Linked DNA regions of Caenorhabditis elegans. The protein of the gene in region 2 purifies or fractionates together with the protein of the main gene of each other region. This does not show direct contact. Each region holds a gene or a part of one and is shown on either strand. Other genes may lie near its edges. The genes, in order: suox-1, trd-1, F41G3.6 and R05H5.3.

Evidence for each region.
Region 1: the proteins of trd-1 (region 2) and suox-1 fractionate together in Caenorhabditis elegans (co-fractionation; one large-scale study listed by BioGRID). This does not show direct contact.
Region 3: the proteins of trd-1 (region 2) and F41G3.6 fractionate together in Caenorhabditis elegans (co-fractionation; one large-scale study listed by BioGRID). This does not show direct contact.
Region 4: the proteins of trd-1 (region 2) and R05H5.3 fractionate together in Caenorhabditis elegans (co-fractionation; one large-scale study listed by BioGRID). This does not show direct contact.

The regions. Positions count from the first base shown.
Region 1 is NC_003284.9:15,495,561-15,501,391, reverse strand, and holds suox-1 (sulfite oxidase), read right to left. Parts: upstream 3,838-5,831; 5' UTR 3,837-3,837; coding exon 3,725-3,836; intron 3,678-3,724; coding exon 3,481-3,677; intron 3,051-3,480; coding exon 2,871-3,050; intron 2,786-2,870; coding exon of another isoform or gene 2,738-2,785; exon of another isoform or gene 2,662-2,737; coding exon 2,500-2,661; intron 2,445-2,499; coding exon 2,220-2,444; intron 2,173-2,219; coding exon 1,962-2,172; intron 1,891-1,961; coding exon 1,800-1,890; intron 1,757-1,799; coding exon 1,309-1,756; 3' UTR 1,113-1,308; downstream 1-1,112. Other genes in the region: tbh-1 (Tyramine beta-hydroxylase), read left to right, coding at 349-710, 759-1,038; gob-1 (Trehalose-phosphatase), read right to left, coding at 4,449-4,598, 5,178-5,320, 5,367-5,831.
Region 2 is NC_003281.10:7,383,804-7,391,676, reverse strand, and holds trd-1 (Tetratricopeptide repeat-containing protein trd-1), read right to left. Parts: upstream 5,449-7,873; coding exon 5,386-5,448; intron 4,562-5,385; coding exon 4,474-4,561; intron 4,057-4,473; exon of another isoform or gene 3,966-4,056; intron 3,720-3,965; coding exon 3,472-3,719; intron 3,014-3,471; coding exon 2,377-3,013; intron 2,167-2,376; coding exon 1,760-2,166; intron 1,715-1,759; coding exon 1,223-1,714; intron 1,163-1,222; coding exon 929-1,162; intron 882-928; coding exon 735-881; 3' UTR 542-734; downstream 1-541. Other genes in the region: tbp-1 (TATA-box-binding protein), read right to left, coding at 5,895-5,981, 6,027-6,191, 6,244-6,806, 7,431-7,638; T20B12.3 (nucleolar complex associated 4), read right to left, coding at 7,856-7,873. UniProt on the Caenorhabditis elegans protein: Developmental protein required for cell fate determination in both the germline and seam cells of the developing epidermis.
Region 3 is NC_003280.10:6,741,065-6,745,311, reverse strand, and holds F41G3.6 (DUF2013 domain-containing protein), read right to left. Parts: upstream 2,399-4,247; 5' UTR 2,393-2,398; coding exon 2,362-2,392; intron 2,316-2,361; coding exon 2,163-2,315; intron 2,119-2,162; coding exon 1,974-2,118; intron 1,930-1,973; coding exon 1,790-1,929; intron 1,740-1,789; coding exon 1,602-1,739; intron 1,549-1,601; coding exon 1,406-1,548; intron 1,360-1,405; coding exon 1,219-1,359; 3' UTR 1,045-1,218; downstream 1-1,044. Other genes in the region: ins-15 (INSulin related), read left to right, coding at 582-689, 737-973; exos-8 (Ribosomal RNA-processing protein 43), read right to left, coding at 2,550-2,615, 2,666-2,995, 3,046-3,222, 3,268-3,411, 3,460-3,576; T14B4.1 (tRNA/rRNA methyltransferase SpoU type domain-containing protein), read right to left, coding at 3,916-4,089, 4,140-4,247.
Region 4 is NC_003280.10:10,195,442-10,199,327, reverse strand, and holds R05H5.3 (protein-disulfide reductase), read right to left. Parts: upstream 1,704-3,886; 5' UTR 1,702-1,703; coding exon 1,621-1,701; intron 1,568-1,620; coding exon 1,356-1,567; intron 1,304-1,355; coding exon 1,147-1,303; 3' UTR 1,010-1,146; downstream 1-1,009. Other genes in the region: R05H5.4 (Tyrosine-protein kinase), read left to right, coding at 37-300, 346-687, 733-996; srb-6 (Serpentine receptor class beta-6), read right to left, coding at 2,493-2,678, 2,728-2,920, 2,969-3,063, 3,132-3,233, 3,284-3,502.

The DNA.
Region 1 (5,831 bases), on a different chromosome or scaffold from region 2:
TGAAAATTGATATACTTATGAAATTGAAAATTGTGTACCTAGATTGCGACTTTTATGTATTTTTGTATAGAATTCCGAAAAAAATTATAGCGATTATTTTTACCAAAAAAAAAATACTTTAAAATTCTCAAAAGTCACATTATTTTTGCTTTCACATCAAAATATTGAGGTGCTGAATTTTGCCTGCCTGAATTATTGTGTCAAATCTGATTGAGATACATTCTGTTTAGGGAGTACACAAAATTCGTTTTCTTGGGAGAAAAGTTTTAATAAAAAATTTTCAACTTAAAAAATCCGCACATCTCTCAAAATCCATACCAGATTCAACTGTAAAATCGAAATTTCCAGCTTCCCGAGGAGGGAATCAACATTTTCGCCAGTCAACTGCACGCTCATCTAACCGGCAGAAAACTGTTCACATCTCAATATCGATCTGGAGTTCGCATTGGAGACGTGAACCGAGATGAACACTACTCCCCTCATTGGCAGCATCTGCAACAGCTTCGACCAGTGGTTAAGGTTATGCCAGGAGACACACTGGTCACCACATGCGTCTACGATACCAGAAAACGATCAAAAGTGACGTTTGGTGGATATCGAATTGTGGATGAGATGTGCGTCAACTATATTTATTACTACCCAGCTTCTGATGTAGAAGTTTGCAAATCAGCAATTTCTAATAGTACGTTGAGAGCCTACTTCTCAGAACGGTGAGATTATCGAAACAAAATGCATCCAATTTTACAATCATATTTCAGACATGGTATGGATGGAAAGAGAATGCAAATTTCGGATATGTACAGCAACGTCAAGGACTGGGGAAATGGAGTTGATGAGGAGTTTTACAATGTGTTGAATGTTGGAAACATGAACATGAACTGCTTGAAATCCAACGGGGAGCCATTCGAATTTGAATCAAAAGATTCCCGCCAGAGCTGGGAAAACATGGCAAGACCAACATTTGTCTCCGGATCATTCATCACAACCAGGGATAGATTCCAGTGTCCAGCCATCAATGACATGATTAATTTTGAGTAATAGTATTGTGTAACTTTCAACGTGCCATTGTCCTTTCCTACATCATTCGTAATTAAACCTTTAAAAAATATTTTGTCATAAAACATTTATTCATACTATCACAGTTGATCTAAAAACTTCGTAACTTGTTGCAATTAAATCAAACGGGGGTAGGGGCAAGACAATACTGGTTCAAATTAAAGATTCAACTGGCCAAATTTTGAATTGAAGCAAGAAAAAATCTAGGGGAAAAGAAAACTACGAGATCTGAACGGAATTTAAAAAAAAATCTTAATCCTTCACAATAATGGGAACTCTATGCCAGGCATTATGAATCAAACCACGAACATTCCAAATACCACTGGCAGTCTCTGGTTGCGTGTTATAGGCTCTGTCTACTGCTTTCGCAATAATATTGAACTCCTTGACTCCCGGAGGAATTTTCACTTCTGCCTTGAACAATGTCCATGCGTACATGTGCTCCTGATCCTGCTTCTCTTCTTGCTCCATCTCGACACTGTTCCACGTCTCGCCACCATCGACGCTAACCTCGATTCGGATGATTCCACGGCCACCACCGCTCCACGCATATCCAGAGATGTCCACAGTTTCGTCACCACGATCAACTTTGGTATTTGGAGCCGGACTACAGATTGCACATTGAACAGGATACTCTTGGATAGATGGAACTGTGTTCCACTTCAGCTCGTCACCAATGTTGACAGCTGGGGAGAATGCTCTGAAATTGGATGGTTTGTAGGTTCTGGAGATTTATTACTAACCTATAATCTTTTTGCTGCCAATGACTATCACTTTCCTTCTCACTAACAATAATTTTTCTGAGCCATTTCACTTGTCGAGCACCAACATTACCTGAATGACTTCTTTTATTAACGATTATCAGAAAAAATTTTTTAAATAAAAGTATGTTAAAACCGTTGTACCTGGCACAATGACCCGCAGAGGAGCTCCGTGATCCCTCGGAATATCAACTCCATTCATGTGATAAGCGACAATGACTTCATCTCCACGAGCCTTTTCAATGGGAATTGATGCTCCGTAGGGTGTTCCAGTCGGATCAACATCTGCTCCTTCAAAGTGGACGTGCTTGATCTTGTCGTCGAAAACGTCGATTCCTGCGTCAGCGAGAAGATCCTTGAATTTTATTAATTAATATCTCATATTTTAAAATTCAAATTTACTCTCAAGCGAACTCCAGTCCATTCGGCATTACTGATTGCAGTTCCTTCCCACATCAGTCCTTGAACTTTCTTATACTGATTCATATCGGCTCTTCTATTTCCAGCACATTGAATCACACTTCCAATTGTATATGACTTGTACTTCTTCTTGAGCTCCTCTACAGACAAATCCACTGTTTTTCCTTTGATGGTTTCCACAGTCAATCGATGGTTTTCAGTTTTGATCTAAAAAAAAATCCAGCGTAAAACTTCACTACACACACAACCCCTTTTCACATACATCAGGAACCGGAAGATGATTTCGTACAAAGAACAGTTCATTGGGTGTGTAGAAGTGGTCGGTAAGCAGGGAAGGAGGGGTTTCGGCATTGAAGGGCTTCGAGTTACGCACGAGTAAAGCTGGATGACGTTCCGGATCATTGGAGAATGCGTCAGCGACTGGCTGTAAAACAAACACAAACATAGGTGAGATAAGAGGATAAATTGATCAATATTTTGGGTGCGTTTGTACCCGGACCCTAATTAAAATCAACCAAACTCACATTACTTAAATCTTCAAAATCAATCTAAACAAAAAAATTTGTTACCAGAATTTCATAAATCACACAATAAAGGATTGTATGCCACCTCTTTTCTACTCCATGAACTTACTTTCGGAACATCTTTTACATCAAGTTTGCCAATTCGATATCCTTCGAGAATCTCGAGAACCTCTTTTGTCTTGTGCTGTGAGTAGAGAGCCCAAAATGGGTCGACAGCTGCACCGGCGGCAAGCAGAATTTTGTCACCTCCCGGATGCATGGCAATGAAATCTGTGACATCATAGACACCCTGTAAAAATAAGAAAACTATTAATTCCAGTTTATAAACAAGCATCAATTTGGAAATACGCATATATGTAGTTTGAAATGTTCTAAGCGTTCGAAAAAAGTCCTTAAAAACCTGTAACCAAGTCACAAAACTACATTTTGTCCAGTCAGCCAAAACTGGACAGTTGAATAATTGAAATTAGGGCTCCCATGTGGGTGCCGCTTTCACGCCGCAATTCAAATTTTCAAAGCGATGCGCGGAACCCACAAAATGTCGGACGCGGAGTTTGCACCAAACAGTGGCATAGAGTATGACACTATTTGTAGCAAAGTTGACTCCACGTCCGACGCTTTTTGGGTTCCGCGCATCGCTATAAAGGTTTCGGATTGTGGCGTGAGAGGGGTGTTTTCGGGGACGACATAAGAGTCCTAATTGAAAATAATCAACTTACATCTTTGTACGTAACCCAAATCCTGTCTGCGTCTTTTCCATGTTTCTTGACCTCCTCCTGCTTGTATATCTGAAGATTCTCCAATTTCTTCTCTGACATCGTCTCATCTTTGGCGTGATCAAGCTTTGCAGTTTTCACAAAGTGTTTGAATCCGAGCACTCCAGCAGTTGCGGCTCCTCCAATATATGCATACTTGTCTAAACATTAGTTAATAGATTTTCAAGTTTTCGTGGTAGATCCCTACAATAAGAGTGATTTTCATTAGTCCTCTGATGTTCTGAAGTGGCGCCCGAAAGTTTGTTGAACTGACGCCGGTGTCTAAAAAACCGATTGAAAGATGTGCCCCGGCCAAGCATTCTGAAAAAATTTGCAAAATCTTTGAAACTTATTAGTTTAAAATATCAAGATTGCCGAAAAACAAACAATACTTTGAAAAATAAAATATCTTTTTTAGAAATTGAATTTTGAAAAAAAATTGAAACAAAAAAAACTACGAAGTTCACAAACACATTGAAAAGTGGACTGAATCAGGGGGGAAAAAGAAAGCAAAACCCGACTAGTTTTATTAAACAATTATTCGAATATGAGGAATTTTTGGTGAATGAGGGTACAATAAAAACATGCTAATAAAACCGATTTCTATAAAACAATAACTGAATTATTTGGTATTTTTACAGTTCTAATCAATTGAAGTTTGAGGGAAGAACGAAAAATGGAATATCAGAAAAAAAAAACGTCACGTGGCAGAAACTGAGAAGAGGAACAGTGAGAGAGAGCAGAGGTCGTAGAGAAAACGAGAGAGAGAGACAGGTTTCGTCGCCTTTGCTGACCATTGACCAGCGGTCATTGATTGCAAGTTACGATGGGTGGTTGAACATTTGAGAAACAACAAGTTGTCGTTGTTCTCTACCTCTCTACCACTCTAATATTTAATAGTTAATGGTTGGGAAACAATCCAATTTCATTTTTCATCCAGAGAACTCTGAAATAATTTGGGCGAACGCAGCGTGAGCAACATCTGGTGAAGAGATGAAGCAGACTCGTTTGGCGTCTCCAACAATATTTGTGATGTTCTCTTGAAGCTGCTTGTTGATATTGACAAACAAGGCTCGAACGTTCTGGAAAAAATAAGTTTTCAAGAAATTTATCTGATGTGTTTAGCATTTTAGCATTATTTCAAATACAAGTTTAATTTAATAAGAGAAATGTTTACTAGCGTGTCTACGAGGTTATTCCAGCTCACGCGGCTCACGTGGAGTCAGGCTCTCCCATCACAATTTTATCTACTAAAAAGTGCGGGATTTTTTTTTGCCAAAAAATGTGACGTCATCATGTTCTAAACAATGTAAAATCAGAGTTGAGAACTCTGCGTCTTAAAACCCGCGTTTTTCGTAGATCTAAGTAGATCAAACCGAATTGGGACATTATGACACCACGTGCAAGCTATTAAGAAGCTATCAGTTCATGAAAATGCCTACTTCGCAAAAATAGCGATAGCACAGAGAACATGCGATGACCAGTGGTTTAGGTGCCTTCGCAACGAGATATTCCCGCGCCAAAACGGTAGGCATTCTCGCGATCTTATGATTTCTTAATATGTATGATGTTGTCCACTGTTGTTTTATTGATAGCGAAAAATATTCAAAAGTATGCTAATAGTGGTTCAATTGACATACTATCTCAATTCAAAATCTTACCTCTGGATTCTCGTCTGCTGCTTTTTTCAACATCGGAACATCACTCGCGGTGTCCCCTGCGACACAAACTTTTCCAACCTTCAACGAGTCGTGGAGTGATTCCACTAAAGCAGCAACTCCATCTCCCTTGTTCCAAACAGCTCCTGTAATTCGAAAATCATCATCATAAATTTCAAAATTGAGCATTACCTGACGAATGAACGCATACTTCAATTTCTAACGGTGAACAATTTTCTAATACTAAATATTGACTGTTGGGATCAACTCGATGGATTCGTTCACGAACTGCATCAATGTATCTAGCTGAGAGGTCTTCTGGAACTTGCTTGAAAACCGTTTGAACTCCTAGGGTAAGACGATCGACTTTCCTCTGTACACCACTTCCAACCAACGCGAATTGCACAAATTCCCCTTCATGAAGTATCTCATCCAGTTGTTCACAGAGCTGCCCAATTGCAACACTTCCTTCCTCAGGAATTCCATCATCATGCACTATTCGTCGGCCGCCAAGCCACCATTCGCGTCCCCAAGATCCACTGAATAATACCGGCCCGTTGATGGGGAGTGCGGTGAGGTCTAGGATTCCAGGATGGCGGAGAGGCCCTGCGGTTAGGACGGCAAATGCTCGGGTGAAGAGACGAGAGAAGACACCCA
Region 2 (7,873 bases):
ATTATTTTATTACTGGGATGCTAAAACTTGCGATCAAATCTCCGCAAAAATCATGGCAGTGGGCCCTGCGATGAGCGAAACTTTTTAGCTACAGTGCCCGCTCTGCGAGTATTTAACACTTTGTCTGCAGTTCACCATTCTCTTTGCTTTATCCATTTTCTAAAATTTAAAACTGCAATTTGAACAGAAAATTGCGAAAATGAAAATAAAAATCTACCATATTCCAGTGTACGGTAGCTGGAAAGTTTGGCTCGTGCCAAGACCCAAAGCCGTGATTCAAAGTTAAAAATCACAATTTTTCGCAAGCAGGTAATAATTTAATAAAATCAGGAAAGAAAAATTGTCAGTTTTTCTTTTCAAAAAATTTCAAGAAAATAATTTTTTCTGAAAAACTCTCGATCGCTCTTTCAAAATGGTAATTTGCTTTGTTTTTCTTCGTTTTTCTCATTTCTACTGACCAATTTTCAAGTAAAAAGCCGCTCCGGTGCCATTTTCTTCAGTCTCCCCGCGAAAAAAATCAGGGTATGTGTAGTTTTCAATGTATCTATCAATTTTCATTTGAATTACTAAAAAAAAATTTAAATGAATTAAATTACTTGAAACAGAACAAGAAAAACAAAACAATAACAACTGAATTAAGATTAGAACAAAAACAAAATAAACAACATCGTTCACTGGGAGAAAATCAAAGATTAACAGGGAATATTTTTATTAAATTTTGAATTTTTGGAGATTCAAATTGCCACACTATCCAGAAGACTTTTGGCAACTTCTACGATCTCCTGAAGTTTCTCCGTCTCATCACCAGACACGCGGCTTCCTGAATCCTTATCAAGACGAGTAAGAATGCCACGAAGAGATAAACGAACTTTAGCGGATGCCTGTAAAAATGAATTTAGATACATAACGGAAACATGATCTATTTTACTTCTTTCACAGACGTATCCGATGCGATGAACTTTGCCAACTCTAGACGATCTTCGGCTAATCGTACAGCAGTTTCAACAACTTCCAACGCCAATTTCTCTTCTTTTGGCCACGTCAGTTTTCCATTTGCTGCAGCTAGACTCTTCTCCAGTAATCGCACATACTTTTCAAATTCGGTTCGAGTTTCCGATGATAAAACAGATGGCTTCTTGAGAAGAGCGTAGACACGGAGAGTCTGAAATTTAATTTAATTTTTTTTTTTTTAGAAAGTTTTAAATTTTCGATAAAAAATTACTTTTGGGGATAAAGTTTGATGATTCGCTGAGATTCTGGCCAACAACTTGATCATTTCTTCTTTTTCCTTCCGATTTTCTGCTTCATTTTGAGCTTTATCCTCGCTCTCATCCATTGAAATTTCAGCTTCTCTTCTTAAAAGTGTTTGAGCAATTAATTCCAAAACTTCATCGTCAGCTCCTCGTTTATTCATATCCAAAAGACGATGATAGGCTTGAATTGCTTGAGAAAATTCTCCAACATCTACTGATAAAAGCATATAGTTCTCCCATACATTCGGATGTTCGTAGTTGTATTTAAGAGCTTCTTGTAGAAGTTTCCATGCTTTTGGCTTCTGTCCATGTCGAATGTAGGCAGCTGATAGATTATTCCAAGCTTCGAAATGATCAGGTTGAAGGGATACACATCTATGGTAACATTGAGTGGATTCTTTAAAATTTTCAAGTTTCCATGCACAGTAGCCAGCATTGAACCAGGTTCCTAATTGAATTGGCTGAAAAAAAAGTTGTATAAAAATATAATTAGTTTTATCAGTAACCTGTAATTCCAGACTTCTTCTTAAATGTTTATAGGCCTCCTCAAACTTTTTATCCATTAGAAGGAGATGTCCAAGTGATCGATGAGCCCTTGCATTCCGATCATCAGATAATTCGATAGCTTTTGTGAAATACTCCAAATTTCTTGTGATATCTCCCAAGTATACATGAAGCATAGAGTCATTTGGTTTCTGCTCAATTAAACGGCGGATAAGAGTTTCAGCCTTGTCCATTTGTCCGAGTTGCTTGTAGCAGTCAATAACCCCGTCCCACATTTCAAGCTTTTCCAGAATGAGCAAAGCTTCAGAAGTACATCCAAGAGAATTGAGAATACCAGCCAGAAGAACAGAAGATTGCCAAAATGGAGTGAGACCAGATGCGAGGATATATGACGTGCGGAGAAGACGATCTAAAATTTTGAAATATTTTTTCGATGATTTCTTGATTGTAACTATCGTGGAAATATATGATCGAAATTTTTTTAACTCTATAAAAATATAAAACTTGCAAAACTTCTCATTATTGTAAAACACTTTTTTTTTGTTTTCAAAAAAAAATTATTTTTCGAGCTCTACCCTTTTTTTAACTTCTCCATTGAATATAAAAGTTCAGTAATCACCTTTAATAAGAACTGGATCATCAACTCCTTGTTGTAACTTTACCACCAATTCAGATTGTGTACATGAACGATCCACTTGTCTCACTCGACCTCTTTCAAGTTCTGCACGAGCCAAAAGAGCAGCTGCCTGAATACTCCAATATCTTCTTGCTGCAATTACAGTATCCAACACTGGTGAACATCGTTCGTGAACTAATACATCATGACGATGAGTTGCTGATTCATGTCGAGCAATCCATAACAGACACGAAAGTTGGCATGCATTCAGTGTTCTTCCATCAACTCTTGCTCCTTGTTCAGTAATAGCAACTTGTTCAAGAAGAGTATCATCATTCATATCCAAACTCTGCGGAATATCAGAATCTGGAGGAAGAGGTGTTCCAGTAGTTGATGGATCCTTATGAATCAAAACTAGTTGTGCAATATCTCTCTGTTGGAACCGTGTTCGTTTTCCCATCATTCCACTCAAATCCATGTTTAGTTGACATTCTTCACTTGCACTTTTAATCAGGTTATCTGCTTTGTCGTATTCATAAAATTGAAACCGTACAGCTGCCATCTCGAGTTGTATCTGACATCGATCTTCTGAAGTGAATGCATCATTTTCTTCGGCAATCAAAACTCTAAGCTTCTCCATCTGAAAAATATTAGTTTCTAAACTGAATAAAAATTTTCTCATAAATTTCAAGTATTTTCGAGTTTTTAAAAACGCTCATTCATCAAAAAGATGAGTGAAAAGCACTTTATTTTGCCATCTAGCATGCTAATGATAGTTTCGGCTGTCTTCGGAGGTATCGGAATCATCACTACAATCGTGTTCGTGATTCTGACAGTTCTTCATTCAAAAAGTGCGGTTTGTAAACCTGCAGGCAAAGAAGACATGAAGAAAGAAGAAACTGAACGGTATCGAAGGAATGCAAACAATCAAAGAAGAATGTGGAGGATCAACTGAAACATCCTCGTCGAAACCGTAGAAAAAAGCCAAGAAAGAAGTCTGATTTTTTTTTGAATAAATTTTAAATTTTTTTCAAAAAAAAAAAAAAAAAAAAAAAAAGTATAACCTTTTTATCCACATTTATATATTTTTTAACTTACAATTGGTTCAATTTCAGTGCGAATAGTTTCCTCTGGATCAATGAGAAGCTGTTGCCAAACTAGGTAGAACTCAAGTATAACACGATATCCAATTGGAGGTATATCAGAAAGATCTTTCAATTTTTCCACGTGTTCATGTGCCAAGTGTAGTGCCCATAAGGACTTTGACACAGCATTTGGTATATTCAGACCACATGATAATTTTTGGCGAGCGAGTTCTTCTGATATGAACGAGGATGTGTTATAATCTGAAAATAGCTTGAAAATTTTCTGTTCTTTTGAAACTTGAGAAAATCCAAATTCAAAAATAATGAGTGGTTTTTTTCAGTCCTTCTGATTTTTTGGTGCCAGGTTTCTTCAGGATGCCTACAATTTTTGACGATTTGCTACAGTTACGACTTTTAGTTGATTTTTTGTGAAAAATTCAAAAATAGATTTATTTTGATCCTCATCCCTAGAGGAATCCTATCTCATTATTGCAAAACCGCCTAACCTAAAATCAATGCGTCGTGGAAGGGGTAGAGAATCGAACCAAACCGTCGATTCCCACTAGACGAAGCCCTCATCCACCCAACCATCGCCGCCGACTCGTTTCGCTGTCGTTGGCTCCACATAGCACGAGAAGTTCTCCAGTTTCAACACACTTTTCGCATGCATGTGCTTGCTTTTTCCCCCGTTTTTTTTTCGTTTCGTCTTTGCTTTTTTCTCTTCGTTTTCCTTATTCTCCAGAGCACATGCACACACGAAGTAACACAACAGAGACAGAGGCTCCGGGCGCCGAGCGCCGAGCCCATACACCGACCGGCGCCTGGAGAGCACAGAGAAGCCAGCCTGTTGCACTTCTTTTTTGCAGCTTCTGGCTCACAGAGCACATCGAACCTTATACTATTATTTCTACTGTACGATTTTTGAATTAAAAAAAATAAGTTTTGTAATTGAATTTTTTTTCCAAACTTCTATCTCGTTTTAATATTTTTAGGGTGTTAAAATATTCATTCTTACCAGAATATCCAACATGATTACTGGCAAGAACATGAGTCACAAGTGATTCCACGAATTCCCAAATGTTGTCCTGATACTCAGAAGTGATCTGAAAAAATTGAATTCATTCGGATACTATGAATCTTTATATTTTCAAAAAACTGTTTGCGCAAAAGTGAGCGATCTTATAACCATGTGTTTTTTTTTTGTATTTTGACGAAAAATTAGTTTTTGGAAAAAAATCCAAAAAAAACTATTCTACATTTTTCGCGGATATTCTTTAGCAACATGTGATGTTTATGGTTCTAGTGTTGTTTTTTTTAATTTGAAACTTTGAGACCCGAAGAACTCGGGGGATGTCCAATTGGGGGGATTAGCAACTCGGGGGATTGGCCCCGCCCACAGAACCGTGGCTTGCAATACGCCCATTTCTGCAACTGCCGCACGGTTTTAAAACTGTATTTTTCTCAATAGAGCGAGAATTAACAAGAAAAATAATTTTAAAACCGTGCGGCAGTTGCAAAAATGGGCGTATTGCAAGCCACGGTTCTGTGGGCGGGGCCAATCCCCCGAGTTGGTAATCCCCCCAGTTGGACATCCCTCGAGTTCTTCGGGTCTCGAAACTTTTGCTCAAGTTTTTGAGTTGTTACGGATTCAAAATAAATTAAAATCGACTTTCTTTCTGGTTTTCTTGTGTTTTCACTAATTTCAATTTCTCTTTCGGAGTTTTTTCACTAAACCTTTAAAATTTCAGTTTGTTTGTTTTTTTTAAATTTTCCTAGTCTTTTGGCAAAAAAATTTTGGAGAAATTCTACTAAATTCGAAACTTAATTACTTTTTTAAAAACAGAATTGACAGTGAGATCGAAATCCGAGTTTTGTCGGGTTAAGAAATATTCTTTTATATCTGAAAATGTAGAAACCAATGAAATACCTTTTCAATATCTTTTTCATTTACTAATCCAGCAATTGATGCAATAATATCAGCTGGAATCATCTAAAACGATAAATTTCAATCTGAAATGTTATAAATTTGAAATATGAATAAATATATTACAGAAATTATCAGAAATTCAATTTCGTAGATTGAACAACAACTATTTTAATACTTTATTCTCAATAATACGGGAGAAATTTGAAAAACAAGAGGAAAGTTGAAAAGAACATTGATAATGTCACTTCTTCAAAAAAAAATAACATCAACAAAATTATACAAGGTACGGGGAGAAATGGTGAGCAGTAATTAATCGAAAGCTTATTGAATTCGAAACGATTTTATCGGATTGGTAGACTGAAGAAAGTGGTTCTAAAGTGCATAGATGTCTAAAATGAAGCTACTTTACCTGTATTATACGAGATCCGGGTTTAGGGATAAGGGAAGGCTTAAAATGAAACAAAAATTTGAAAATAAAGAAGAATGAAAACAATTTTAATAAAAGAAAGTTATTTTTTGAATCCCTTCAAGATTGGATAAATCTGCCCGAATGCTTCGTCAATGTCCCTCTTTGTTTTTGCTCCAGTGATAACAACCTGAAAATTTAACATAGAAAAGGTTATTTCATAACTTAAACTCACTTTTCCAGACACAAAAATAAGGAGCACAACTCTTGGTTTGACCATACGATAAATTAATCCAGGGAACAATTCTGGTTCGTAAGTACTGAACTGAGAGTGAGTAATGCACAATCCTTCAAGTTGAATCGGAAAACGAACATCACAAGAACCAACCATGTTTTGAACCTACAAAAAAATTATTCAAATGATTTTGTGACCTTTTTCCAGAAACACTTACCATAAATTCGGTAAATTTCGCCTGAAATCCCAACTTTTGAACAATTCTCGCATATTTTCGTGCTGCCAATCGACTTGCTTCTTCTGACTTCGCACCAGTGCACACCATTTTTCCACTCGAAAAAATTAAAGCAGTTGTTCTTGGTTCACGAATTCTCATAATGACTGCTGCGAAACGTTTTGGATTGTATTCGGCGTTTCTCGCGTGCAATGCAATCTTCTTCAAATCCAATTGAACTCCCAAATTGACTGTAGAGACAATGTTCTGAAGAGCTGGCATCGGAATATCCAATTGACTTGCTGGAGTTGCTGGAACCATTGTGGCAGCGATGTTACTTGCCGGAGCCTGATGTGTCAGAGCATCTCGATCATATACAGAATATGCAAGTGGTGTCATTGGAACTGTCAAATTCTGATATGCAACTGATGGAGGATTGATGTCCAAATTGTGATGCATAACTGATCCAGGATTACGATCAGGTCCGACTGAAGCTGGATTTATGTTCAAGTTGAGATTGGAGTTGGCGAGATGTGAATGCATTTGCATTGAAGAACCTTGAAGGCCTGAAATAATATAAATCTTTAATTTTGACAAACGGCTTTAAGACTGAAAAAAGGTTATAAAGTTGAAAGACTGGTCACGGCTAAAATAAACGTGCACAGAGAGTTCATCAGATTTTTTCATAAATTTTTTAAACTGTACAATATTAAAATTTCGAAAAAAAAACGTATTAATTTCGCTTAAATCTGAAATTTCGCTAACTTTTCCTTGTCGCATCAGTTAGGATACAGTTTTTTTTAATTAGTGTATTTTATTGAACAATTTATAATTTTATAATTTAGTTGTTTATCTCGCTTCACATCGTCGATTCAGTCCCATTTATGATCGACATGCCAATTATGTTCATTTTTAGACGCCTAACGACATAAAAATTTGCCGAAATTAACGAAAAACTAACAAAATATTCTATAAAGGGTGATAATTCAAAAAATCTGTAATTCAGCTGCTGTGATAGAAGTCTCGGGATTCAGCAAAATTCTGATTTCTTGTTAATTTACTTTTTGTCATGCCATAAAAAATAGTGAAAATTTTATGAGCAGTCTCTTTAAAAAAAATTAGTTAATTTTGGGCTAGTTTTATCCTTTTCAAGCAAAAACCCTGAAATGAGTTTTCCACAAATAACTTACTGTGCATTTGTTGTGATTGCATTGGTTGAATTGATTGTGGATTGAGAACACTTCCAGGTCCAAGAATCGAGTTTGGTCCCATTACAGAGTTGGGACCGTGTCCCGTGAGAATTGATGAGGGTCCTTGACCTCCAAGTACGGAATTCGGTCCACCATGTGCAGGGGTGTCACCGCCAAGCATTGATACAGCTGGGCTGTTAAGGTTCATTGTGAACTGTAAAAATATTTTTAATCAAAAAAAGAAAAATGGATAAGAAATTGGAACAAGATATTTAATTTAAATATGATTTCAGTGAATAAAACACTGGAATAATTATTTTAAAAGAAAAACAACAGTACTATTTTGAAAATTTAAAATATAAAAACGAGAAAACGGAAAAACAACAACAAAAGTGGAACAACAATAACTGTAACAAAAAATCTGATTAAATTTTCCATAAAGT
Region 3 (4,247 bases), on a different chromosome or scaffold from region 2:
CCAACTTGGCACAAACGCCTGAGCTTGGTTTTCACCCAGAATAGATTACTAGATTATTATTTCTAATGTATAAACTAACTCAAAATAAATTCAAAATAAAAATAATATCAGCGATTTGCTCCGCCCATTTTTAAGCCAATCAGACGGAATTGGTAGAGATCGAAGATGCTGATTGGTTAGAAAGTGGGAATTTTGGAGGAATTTCAAATAGAGATTCTAACTAAAACTTTTAAAAAAATCGAGTTTTTTTGAGTTTGGATTTTTAAGACTATTCATGGTGCATCGAAGAAACATCCACATTTATGCTCCTCCACAATTTATAGTAGTCTCTTGTTTTCAGAAAAATCCTTGAACTGTCTGGAAGATATCCGATTCTTGTAAGCGTCATTGTATTTTCAGTGAATGGAACGTATAATTTTTCTTGTTTTTTGTATTTTAAAATAACTGTTCATCGAAAACAACTATCACCCACCTTAAATTACAGATTGTATCGATGGTATAAAAAGAATATCCCGAGAGCTATTTTGTTCATTTACATTTCTTTTCTTGCCCAAAAACAAATGTAAATTAATTTTCAGATAATGAAGCTTCTTCCTCTCATTGTGGTTTTTGCTCTTTTGGCAGTCATATCAGAATCATATTCTGGAAATGACTTCCAACCTCGTGACAATAAACATCATTCCTATCGTGTGAGTCATTCTGAATAAGTTGCATTTTTGTAAATGAATAATTTCAGTCATGTGGGGAATCGTTGAGCCGACGAGTTGCATTTCTGTGTAATGGTGGAGCTATTCAAACAGAAATACTAAGAGCTCTGGATTGTTGTTCCACTGGTTGTACGGACAAACAGATCTTTTCTTGGTGTGATTTTCGTAAGTTAACAAGGAAGGAGAAACAGAATTATTCAGGTTTAATTTTCAGAAATTTGAACAGGACACAAATAGTTTCTTTTCTACTTTGCCATGTTGAATAAAAACATTGTTTCATAACATTTTCCCATTCTTTCATTAACATTGGCTAGCCCACTCAGAATTCAGAACTTTTCACAGAAATTTATTTCAAATTGGCAATAGCAGTAAAATGCGCAATGATAACTGGCAAAATAGTCATGGGATTATGAGTGAATGGATGAAAAGGATACCGTTCAAAATATAGCACACGAAATGATTGAAAGCCGGATGGGAGAAATAAGTACATAAATAATATGAAATTAGTGCCCTATCTTTTAAGATTGAACACCTCATTGACCAAATTGCTGAGCTCATCTTTCTGGTGCAATTCTGGAACTTGTTCGTGCGCGTCAGACGTCAAATCGAGAATGATCATTTTCACTTGCTTGCAGTACATTTGATCGCCCAGCTACAAAAAATATTATTGTTGATCAAGAATTTAAGTTATAATATACCTTAAACTCTGGAAGATTAGCGACAACTTCAGATCTCTGGCATAAACACATCAGAATTTCAACTGTCAGTCTCATTACAAGTGGCTCATCCTCTGTGATGCTCCACAGCGTGCGAACAGCGTCCGCCATTGTTGCAATGTCGTCTGGAGCGAAAATACAAAAACTTTAATGATGAATTCTTAACATTATATCTTACTTGAAAGTTGGAAGAAAATTGCAGCGAGAGCATCGATTAAATCATAACGTGATCCCGACGAATAGATACGACGAACAAATTTCTGGGCATCTGGAGATGCGGCGACTTCGTCAGAATCACTGAAGACGCGAAGAATAGCTGAAATTAGTTTTGATTTTGGAAATCTACAAGTGATAAAACAATATTACCAAACAGGACATTGGCTCTCTCATCGATTGAAAGTTGGTCCAGGGAGCATTGTGAGAGATATCGTAGCAAAAGACAGGTCTGTGTGATTCCGACACCTGTGTTCCAGTCGCCACCTCGAGGATCAGTTGGGAGAGTGGGTCTGTAACTTAGAAACTGCGAAGTTTATACTTAAATTATTCTTACTTGTCGCGAATGGAAACCGCCTCTCCTCGTGGGACCAGTTGTGATGGATGGCACCGAATTGCTGTTCCGAGCCAGGCAATAATATCATCATGTGTCACTTCTAGAGACAGCTCTCCGGCAAGTCGAACCATCGTTGTGTACATAGCTGAGAATGTATTTTTTAACTTAATTTCAATGAAATAATATTACCAATTGCAAGATCATTATCCGGGTGACAGAGAAGCCACATTCCGACGTGACTATCGGAATCAAGTTCGAGATTTGCTTCTTTTCTCTTCTTGTGTTCTTCGTCTCGAGCTTGTTGATAAACCATGATGTCCCTGCTCTCTGTGAAGAGTCCCTCTGCAATAAAAAAACTTTGAATCTAAAAACTTCATATCAAACGCACTGTTTCTATTGAAAGTTCCAAAGTATCGCATTTCGATCTGAAATGGAGAATTAAAATTTGAAAAAAATGCCAAAAAATGAGATACGATTCGATCGAACGAATTGGTGGATCCAAACAATATGAAAATCGATCGAGAAACAACAATTTATAACAGAAAACATATTTAAACGAGCAACAAAATTAAATAATCAAACAACGTTTTGAAGAGACTCCACGAATTTGTGTCGGCGTTCGGCGGTAATTTGACACATTTTCTGAATATGAATTAAGTTAGTGATCGTAAAACTACATAACAATAAAATACCTTTAAAAGGGAGAAAGAAGAAAACTGTCCTCGTTCACGAACCATAACCATGTGATCATCTTTTCCAACAATTACAGAACAAGTTGCTCGACACACTGATATTGCTTCTAATGTTGGAGACAAGAGGAGAACTTCAGACTTTTTGTCTGAATTAACGTCAACGAAAATACCGAATGAACAGCACATCAAAGGTTCTTCGAGCGTCAATCGATGCATTGTTCGGTAATCTGCTTGAATTTGTGTTTTTTCAATTGTCGATTCGTCGCCCTCGGAATGGTTTAATACAATCGACGGGAGCTTTGCATCTACAAGAGCGGCACCGAGAGCGCACTGAAAAATTTTAAAATTATGTTTAAAAAAACAAAATCTTTTGTAAATACCACAGCTGCATCCAAAAAGTTTCCCTCGAGACTGAGCACTTTAACAATGATATGAAGTTGCCATTCCAGAGGCAAAGGTTTGCCACAGACATCCAAACATCGCAAATTTTCGCGTCGAACGAAACAATTATTTGTGAATAACGAAAGCAAGACACTGTTGCAGTCCTCTGCGTCTTTCTATAATTTATATGAATACAAGTAAATAAATGTTCAGTAGCTAACCTCTGATAGCTGCTGAGAACCTTCAATTTTGATATCCACCAGGGGTGCATCACTAACGAGTGAAACTGAAGCTTGAATTGAACACGAAACAGTCACTCCTTGGGTACTGACGACAGATGAACCAACACCGCCACATTCTCCTTGCTGAAAAATTGAAAAGTTTACATAGAATTGAATCGTGAGAAAAATTACCTTAAAAACAAGTTTTTGTTCATCAAGAAGACCACGTCCGTCAGGATAGACTCCTTCTTTGATAAAAGTTGCAAAGTATCCACGTGGATCAATGCCTCGAAGTACTTCTGATGACATTGTTGATTAGCCAATTCTTCTTATTTTACCGGCAAAATCAACGCGCTGCAAAAAACAAATTCTTTATAAGAAATAAAGTTAGGTGTGCACTAGGGCGAGTTTGCTTGGGAGACCTCGCAACAATTTTCGCAGACACCGGAGAATTGAATCCACAAAATCTCCGATCGTAGAACGGCAAAAAATAAGAGTTTCTTTTTTCTTGGAGAAATATATGGTGAAAACTCAACGCTTTTTATTTTTATTCAACACACCATCTAATTATTATTAATTTTATTGTTCAAGAACGAGCAAAAAAGAAAGTTAACAACAAAAACAACAACTTTAACAAGGGAAGTTTATTTAATTTTTATCAAATCTGACTTGTTCGGCAAATTTAGCAATCATAAGCGCCGCCGTGACGTGCACATTCAAACTTCGAGTATGCCCAACTTGTTTGATTTCCACAGTTTGATCAACTGCGCGTAGTAGATTCACCGGAACTCCTTCTTTTTCATCGCCCATAACAATCACAGCCTGAAAATAAAACATTATTTATTCGTTTTTCTTAAAATACAGCTTAATACCTTCTTTGGGAATACAAAATCATGCATCATCACACTATCAGTCGTCTGTTCAGCTGCGATCACTGTGTATCCGTTGGCTCGAAGATTTTGAAGATATGGGAGCAAGTT
Region 4 (3,886 bases), on a different chromosome or scaffold from region 2:
ATGTTTCTTTCTAAATTGAATTATATTTTTTAACAGATCGGAGCAGGCGCCTATGGAACGGTGTATCGTGGAAAACTCGTGAAGACGGATGAAGTCATTGCAGTGAAGAAGCTCGATCCAGAGGGAGCCGACGAGGATGGTTTAGCTGAAATGATGAAAGAAGCCCGAGTGATGCAGCTCTATGACCATCCGAACATCGTCAAATTTCACGGCTTCATCTTGGACGATCTTCCGTATCTTCTCGTGCTGGAGTACTGTAATGGTGGAGCTGTTGAGGATCGGCTGAGAGATAAGGGAGAGGTGAGGGTGTTTCCAATTTAGCTGAAAGAAAATTAATTTTTCCAGAAAATAAAAGTTCCGACACGCGTCAAGTACACCTACATGGCTGCTTGTGGCATGGATTACCTGCACAAAAAGAACTGTATCCATCGTGATATCGCGTCGCGAAACTGCCTCATTCACAAGGGAGTCGTCAAGATGGCTGACTTTGGAATGTGCCGAGCCCAATCCGTCTACAAAGTTGATCTTAAAAAGCCATGCAACATCCGATGGCTGGCTCCCGAGGTTTGGGACAACGGGGAAACGCGTTTCAACACTGACGTCTACGCGTTTGGAATCATGATGTGGGAGTTTTTCGAGACCCCATTCAAGTCGCCATATGTTGAGATGAAAGCTGCTCAAGTCAAGGTAAATACTGCCAAAAAGGATCTAGATGTGTATTGAATTTTTCAGCGCAAAACCCGAGCCGGATATCGCCTCCCTCCACCACCATCAATGCCGAGTAGAATGGTGGAAATCATGAGCGAGTGCTGGCAAGTAGATGCTGAAAAACGACCAACCGCTGAAGAGTTGAAGGAAAAGCTGGAAGAGTTCAAGAAGAAAACGGAAAACTCCATCACTACTTCGGCACCACCTACAAGTGTGGAAAAATCGAAATTGTCCGTGTCGTCAGAGCCAACCACGAAGTCTGTGGATCCGAATAAATCTAGACTGTAAATGTAAATAAATCTTTGGCTGCGAAAGTTTTTATGGGAAATGTACGAAATTAGCCGCAATATTTGAAATTATGGTGAGAAATTGTGACAATTGATAAATTAGAGTGAAAGGAAACTTGAAATTTTTTGGTGTTACGTTGGTGGAGAAAATTTAATCGTAGAAAGCGAGCCACTCTTCCCAGAGAGCTTCTGGATCATTTCCTTTGTCCTGAATCTCGGTGCGAGCGTCCTGAACAACGACATCTCCGTTTGGCTTGACAATGCGCATTGATGGGATCGTCTTCACTTCGTATTGTTCAAGAAGCTCTCTGAAAATAATTATTTGTATACATTTAAAATTCGATTTTAGCTGAAACTAACTGAATTCTTGGAGTTCCAAATGGAATTGCAGTCCAGGCGCCCATGTGCTCAAGGAAGTATTCACGGAGATCACCGTCTTCACGATCGCGAGACACGAAAACAACCTCGAATTCTGGATGCTTCTTGCGAATCTCGTCGAAGAATCGAGTGAGCTTTGGAGTGAATTGACGGCATGGTGGACACCAACTGGCCGAGAAGTAGAGTCCGACGACCTGGAAATATTAATTTTGCCATTTTTTCTTCAAAAAAAAAAGAAATGTTTTACCTTTCCCTTGAGGTGCTCGCCAGCATCGAGCTCTTCGCTGTCTTGGTTGATCAACTTGGTTCCAGCGAGCAATTCGGACATTTCTGAAAAATAAAAGCTAGAAGTATTCATAAATTGAAATGGTAAAATGGCACCGGCGGAAGAAATGCGAACAAAATGAAGGTTAACTATAAGCTATAAATTCTGCAATAAAATTCGAAGAGTTTTCGCATCAAACAACTTCAAAAGCTCACAATTTGCTAAATATAAGACTTTAAAAACCGGGGTATCTGTGGAGAAAGCTCTTGGAGTTAGCCAACGCAGCAAAAAATGAAAAAAAAAGCGAAGAAACTCGATAAAATGAGAGGAAATGAGAAGAAAATTTTCGAATTTCCGTTCTAGCGCTTCTTTTTCGCGGCGAATTCAATTTCTGGCGCCGCTCCACAGAGCGCGCTTGCAAAGAGAACTCATGAATTTGTTGATCTTACGGAACTATTGACTCTCAAATAAAGCAAGATTACATTCGAAATATTATTTTTTTTTAATAAAGAGTAAATTTTTTTCAATGAAAAAAGCACAATAATTGTTCTCGCTCGAACAAAGTTTAGAAAAAGAATCAACGCAATATTTATTGATTGTGCCATAGAAGTACAGTAACCCATAATACTGTTTTTTAAACGTTTTTCGTAGTTAAAAAAACTTTTTTTCATGTACTGCAATTTCGTTTCTATAATAAAACAATTTTTCAGATAAAAAAGTATAAAAGTTGACGAAAGTTGCGAAAAAACTGGGATGGGTTACTGTACTTCTTAAAGGCGCACACCTTTGTGCACAACATCGATTTAAACATAAATATTATTGTCGTGTAATATATTTTTTCAATTATAAATCAGTCACTTCCGTCCTGATGACTTAGTCTTCCAAACATTTAAAATAGCCTCTTGATGAATCTGAGCCCCGTCAATTCCAGAATACTTCAATGTAACTTCCGCATAAACTTTTGCAACTTTTTGTCTTTGCAAATGCCGTAGAATGACGCATGAAGCAATACCAATAATCAAATTATACGTGGGAATAGTCTGAAAAAAATGTAATTTAGTCATGATTTGTCGAACACCATATTCTCACGATGTAAACACCTCTGACCGACATCAAATCGGCTTGTGTTTTCAAAAATCCTGGTCCTAGAAGACGAATAATTAGGGTGAAAATGAGATAGAGCGAGAAGAAGAATACATGAATAAATGAGATAAAAGTGGAGAATTTCGTGGTTATAATGTTCTCTTCCATTTGATAACGAGTTGATAAAGAATTACGCCATCTGAAATTTTCAGTGTTTGCATTTAAAATAATTTAAATCTGATCTTACTTTTCTTTCAAAATAGTGTTGATCTTTACCAAAAAATAATTGAAAACTAAATTTACACTATTAATAGCAAGTAAGGAATAGCATAACCAATTCATCTGAAATTTATGGTTTTATGTTTTAATGCCGCCTAGGTGAAATTTCCAAATTCCCTGGGAAAACTCACTTTATAACCGGAAGTATCAGGAACCATAAAGTATGAGATGGACGGTTGATCGAATTTCTCATCGAGGAAGAAGAAATAGACAAGTGCCATGTCGCAAAGCATCTGAACTATTTATTTTAATTTTAATAATAAAAAATAATAACGCTACTCACTGCAAAAACACCGATAAACACTCCAATATGAAGCTTAACATTTTCGTAGCAACGAGCAAAGATCAGAGCCAGAAGGCGTTCAGCAGTTATTCCAAGAATTGTGAGCATTGGGCAAGAAATACCGAAAACGCCGATATTTTGAAAGATACGGTTTTTCACGGGATTCACTAACAAATCACACTTGGAGACTGCCAAGAAAGGGATGACGACGTGGTGGGCCTGAAAGAATTATTCTGTAAATCTGTAATTATACGATTTCTATCTAAGTTACTAGCAACTATTTAACCACAAGAACAATTATTTATACACTCTATTGTAGTTCAAATTTTCGGCGTCAAAAATGTGTGAAATCTGAGTTATACGCGAACTTCTCTCCTACAGAATTCATTTCAAATTGACTCCTTTAAAATATATTCACAGTAACCCTACAGTAATCCACCGCGCCCTTACAGCAAACCTATACTATGAAAATACGAGGTATAGATTATATTTTCTGTAGAAGCATTAATGAATAATTGTTTTAATTCTGAAATTCAAGAATACCCCCCTAAAAGAAAAATGGAAAAAAAAACACGAGAACTGTATTTTTTTTAAAGCATCTCT